Kluyveromyces lactis: one gene and its partner. Each later gene encodes a partner of the first gene's protein in a complex. Links are inferred from orthologs where the notes say so. Each region holds a gene or a part of one and is shown in the gene's direction. Other genes may lie near its edges.

Region 1 (2,815 bases):
GAGGAAGTGACTAAAAATGAAATCACCAATACGACGAGGTGAGCACGCCAATTACCCATATTCACTAATAGTTTTTTGGTCGACATGGATAGCCCACTTTGTAAGAAAATGACGATGACTGCACCGTAACCGATAGAATATTGACCTCTAATAAGACCACCACTCCTAGCAAAATTAGGGAAGAACCGCGCAAGTACAATAAATATGGCTAACCCAATGAAAAACCATTGTGATATGATATACTGTGTGATTTTATGGTTATAAATGACGGAGAGTCGGTGTTTGAACGGCGATGTGTTCTTTCTTTGTTCACTTTCAACCGACAGCGAACTATCAGATGAAACTCTATCCGCTATGTTATCACTTTCTGTCATAGCTATTTCTGAAATAAATGCCAAAACTCTGGTGTTGTCTGCTTTGTTTCAGTTCAGTAAACAATGTTGAAAGTCCGAGCTTAATACTGATATGTTAGCAAAATTTATCTTGGGATCTTGAAAACATATATTATAAGCTAATGTATAACCTTAAACGATAGTTGTCTGTGCCACTAACTAACATTTACAATCTAAAAGCTGCCGTAAGCCAAGATCGTTCGTTCTGTTCATTGTCCTTATTCTGCAGTGCATATATATATATATATATATATATATATATATATATAGATGTAAAATAATAAATCCTAGTCAAATAATGACTTTTCTTATCCTTCTAGTTTTCTGGTTTTTTTTTTTCAGCCGTTTTTCCAGGACATAATGACAACCGATTAGAGCATCTCGGACTCATCCACAAAGAGATACAACCGGCGTCACAGCTACGGTTTTTGATGACCAAACGAGATATAACTTCTCAAAGTATTGTAACAAACATCCTTATATCGTTCATTTCGCGCTGATAGGAGAGCCTTACCTACAACTCTGCGCATTTAAACACCTAATGTCTCCGGGACTCACGTGACTGGGCTTCCATTAATTTCAATTTTTCGTCATTTCACCCATACACTACATAGTACAGGCATCCTCCTCTAAACCGCAACTTTTCAACCAGTTGAAGGACTGTGGACGAGAAATCAACGACAATCTAGGATACCGTTTGCTGCATTAGGTTTGGTTTGTCGGAAACAATAACAAGATTGGAAGCTGTCAAGACATTGAACCGTAGCGTGGGGTTTTATCTTGAAATTGAGAACTGCAACTGGAAGCCAGGTGAGGTTAGTGTGCTAACATTCGGCCTGTAACGAAATCAAAAAAAAAAGAGGATGCTATTAATCCATTACTGTGGTTCCTATTACGGTGCCTTGGCAATCTGAAAATCGCTCTATTCACAGTGCAAGATTAATCCGATAAATATTACGCCAAATGCTGTCTTCGTTTGTCCATTCAACCGGTGATTTATATGCATTGATCCACTGCTCTATTTTTCTCTCTCATCAGCGAAAAAGGACTGTCCTATCATGTCACGTGATTTATATTTCCGGTGAATTTTCTCAAGCATTACTGGGATATTTCAGTATGAATACGAGAATCAACAGATAATTAGACGTCAATATTTGATGGATCTGTAAGATATGCATCCTAAGACAAAAAATGAGGTAAACTGAAGAATTCCCTACCCCAACCGGCTGCATTAAGAATTTATCGCATTGCGACTTCATCGTTGTACGTCCCTGTAATAACTCATTGGTAAAATGGTCAATTATGGAAGCTATGCACTGCGATCTGCGGTTATTACAGTTTCGTGGATTCCAGTTATACTCACCTTCACAGAACATGTATGCTATGTAGCTAAGATTGAAGGCTCCTCGATGCGACCTACGCTTAATCCAACTGATTCGTTCAATAATGAATCCGATTGGGTTCTTCTTTGGAAGTTTAATCTCAAACAAGCCAAGAATTGGAAAGAAAATGATGTAGTACTATTCAAATCCCCTTCGAATCCAAAGAAAGTATACTGTAAACGTGTTAAAGGCGTACAGTTTGATCAGGTGAAAACTAGATCACCTTATCCTAAGGATACCTGTCTGATTCCCAGAAATCATCTATGGGTCGAAGGTGATAATGTATACCATTCAGTTGACTCTAACAATTTCGGCCCCATCAGTACTGGCTTAGCATTAGGTAAAGCAGTCAAAATAGTATGGCCCCCTTCGAGATGGAGCGCAGATCTGAACATGAGCGAAGGAAGAGGTGACATTAAAGTTTTCCCTACGATGGAACATTCGTGACGTAAAGACCGAATACCTGAAGAGAGAAAGAATTTGTTGTTATTTATGTATATATACCATATTAAGCATGCACATAATGAAATGATGAGATTATGGATTTCAATTCAATTCTTATTTTATCGTTGTACCTTGTTTATTTATTCGCATTGACTAATTCCGGGAATAATCGTTTCTTCCCAGTGATGTTACTCATTCTATCGTCAGTATCGTCATCACCAAACTGGAAACTATATCCATCTGAATCTAAATCAGACTCTTCGTGCTCCAGAAATTTTGGTTTAAACTCAGTCCCTATTTCATCTGAGAATAATAGCCTGCTACTTGTACTTAGGCTGCTACTCTTTGATGAATTTAATCCATTGTTGGGAGAACCTTCGCCATATCTGTCTAGGCACAATTTGGGCGGCACGTTTATGCTGAAATTGAAATATGATGCCTCTTCATCATAGTCGATGTTTTGTTCATTGGTCAGTTGATGTTCTTCTGTAGTAACTTTGTTGGGGAGTGGGATATTATAATCGTTGTTTACATCGCTCAAACTTACAGGACAGGTTCCAATTTTGTCTTTCAACTGGAATATTTGAGTTGAGTTTG
Region 2 (2,323 bases), on another chromosome or scaffold:
GATAATAGTGATTTGTATTGTTGTTCATTTCCGGAGGTTTCCTGTAATCTGGAGTCCACGGTTTCTAAGAATTCTCTAGAGAAAATGACAGTACCGTGTCCATTGGCTTCGAAATAGATACCAATGTCATAACGGGAAACTGCCTCGTGATGTAGATGTTTGACTCCTGTCTTGGTGCACGAAACAGGAATTTTCAATTTGTCAGTGATATATTTAGTAGAAGAACCATTCGCATATGCCGTTTGAACGACTCCCAATTTTAAAGTATCAGACAACCCACAATCACGAAGCAAATCTGCGATTAGTTTTGCCAATAAAGTAGCAATCTTGTCACCATCCAATAAATGGAATTTATTTTCTTTACCATCAACGTAATAGAAGACAACACGGTCAGCATCACCATCAAAGGAACAGTACAGTTGAGATGGTTTCGGATTACAATTCGCGGGGAATGTCTGATTGGTTTTAACAAAATCAGCACCACAGGACTCATTCAAAAGTTGAAAGGTCTTTGTCTCACCATTGACAGCCGTTAAGGAGTTTTCTAGCATATGACCAGCCTGAGAAATGAGTTGTTTCACTTTATCTGCCCCAATGCCGTTGGCGCAATCTATCGTTAAATGGAATGGCAATTCAGTGACCTCGTACAATTGCGTCAACTGGTTCCAGATAGAGACGAAATGATCATAATAAGTAGAATCTCTTACTTGTGATGGTTGAGACGAGGTGTTCAAACTGTATACTAGGAAATGCAATTGAGGTGTAGTCAATAATTCGAAATCGATGATTTTAACTGCAGGGAAGACAGATATACCTGCCTTCAAAGCAGCTAGTAAACGAGGACCCGATTCTCGAGAGTCACGTGCCACTGTAATATTAGCTAATTGAGTGGTGTCAATGTTTAATTCTGCTATAATCGATTGCAAAGTAGACTCCAATTGTGTGAAACTGGATGAAGCAGCATTGGCCAATTTTGTAGCAATTGGTTCCCAATTTTGAACCAACATTTCGCCATATGGTTCCACAACCTTCACTCCATTATCCTCAGGTGGATTATGCGAGGCAGTTATCATCACACCGACGAATTTTGATTTAAGGTAGATAGATCTTAAAACGGCAACGATACCTGTAGTGAACATAACAGTATCTAGCACGGAATTGTGTGCTCTGAAACCAGCAGTTCCATAGGTATAAGCATGGCCTTGTTTGCAGTACTGCTCGTATAGGTCACGGAAAGACATTGGTGAGGGTTACTTTCTTGTACTCTTTGCTCTCTTGACGCCTACCAATTAGCCAAATATACATTTAATACTTAGAATATATTTCAGTTGAAGAATTTATACATAAAATATGGAACTCAATGTTCAAAATGAAAGACAAACAAGAGAAATAAGGTGAGAAAGAGAACCAAAAACGTTTATACAGTGGCTGATTTGGTTCACAGAACTGATTGCCAACCAGTTAACGTTACATCAAATAAAGGTGTGTTTTACAGTGTGATGGCTCCACCTACGAAAATACTCGGTCTTGACACTCAGCAGAGAATGCTTCAACGTGGTGAAAATTGCAGTTTAAAGTCTCTGGTACAGAATGAATGTGCTTTTAATGGTAATGACTATGTGTGTACGCCTTTCAAAAGACTATTTGAACAATGCATGGTGAAGGATGGACGTGTATTAAACATTGAGGTAACAAATCTGAACACCAACAGATGAGACTTCGCAACAAGATGTTTACGGAGAAGGATCATAATAAAACTGGAATACAATGAGTTACTAGTGCCGTAGTACAAGGTGTAACTATAATGTCAGGAAGAAGCGCAACCCTAGTCTTCATCTAAAGATCAGTAGATATTTATTGAGCTGACCATGCAGTATTTGAATATGTTTAACGGACAATTACAGATGTCATGTGCGGTTAAAGTCTGCCACAAGTAGGAATTGACCAACATCGTTCTGCGCGGAGATACAGTCATCCTCATATTGGTGATGAAAGCTTACTGATCTGCGTTCTACAAGGAATAACTAGTGGTATATTCATTTTCTTCATTCACGTGACTGGACTTATGGGATGTCCCAGTGTGCAGAAGTAGAGGTTGGAAAGATACATACATTTCGGTTAACGGCTAATCATGAGGGGTTTGTAAAGGTATATGGCAGATGTACATAGTTAAATACAAGCCATATCGCTTCAATTACATTCTGTCGACATCGACGGTTTTCAGGTAAAAAATCGGACCATCTTAGCGTCTAAATAGTTTATGCGCCTTTTTGAGAGTATCTTTTACATCGACCAAAACATGGCAGTTTCAGATAATTAGGTG

The links.
Region 2: IMP2 (region 1) and SOM1 share a complex: the UniProt entries of both Saccharomyces cerevisiae proteins name them as parts of the mitochondrial inner membrane peptidase (IMP) complex. The link is inferred for Kluyveromyces lactis from reciprocal best matches to the Saccharomyces cerevisiae genes IMP2 and SOM1.

The regions. Positions count from the first base shown.
Region 1 is NC_006042.1:2,492,664-2,495,478, reverse strand, and holds IMP2 (endopeptidase catalytic subunit), read left to right. Parts: upstream 1-1,684; coding exon 1,685-2,221; downstream 2,222-2,815. Other genes in the region: RCH1 (Rch1p), read right to left, coding at 1-374; putative tyrosine protein phosphatase MIH1, read right to left, coding at 2,355-2,815. UniProt on the Saccharomyces cerevisiae protein: Catalytic component of the mitochondrial inner membrane peptidase (IMP) complex. IMP catalyzes the removal of signal peptides required for the targeting of proteins from the mitochondrial matrix, across the inner membrane, into the inter-membrane space.
Region 2 is NC_006040.1:80,712-83,034, forward strand, and holds SOM1 (Som1p), read left to right. Parts: upstream 1-1,499; coding exon 1,500-1,715; downstream 1,716-2,323. Other genes in the region: phosphoacetylglucosamine mutase PCM1, read right to left, coding at 1-1,241. UniProt on the Saccharomyces cerevisiae protein: Non-catalytic component of the mitochondrial inner membrane peptidase (IMP) complex. IMP catalyzes the removal of signal peptides required for the targeting of proteins from the mitochondrial matrix, across the inner membrane, into the inter-membrane space.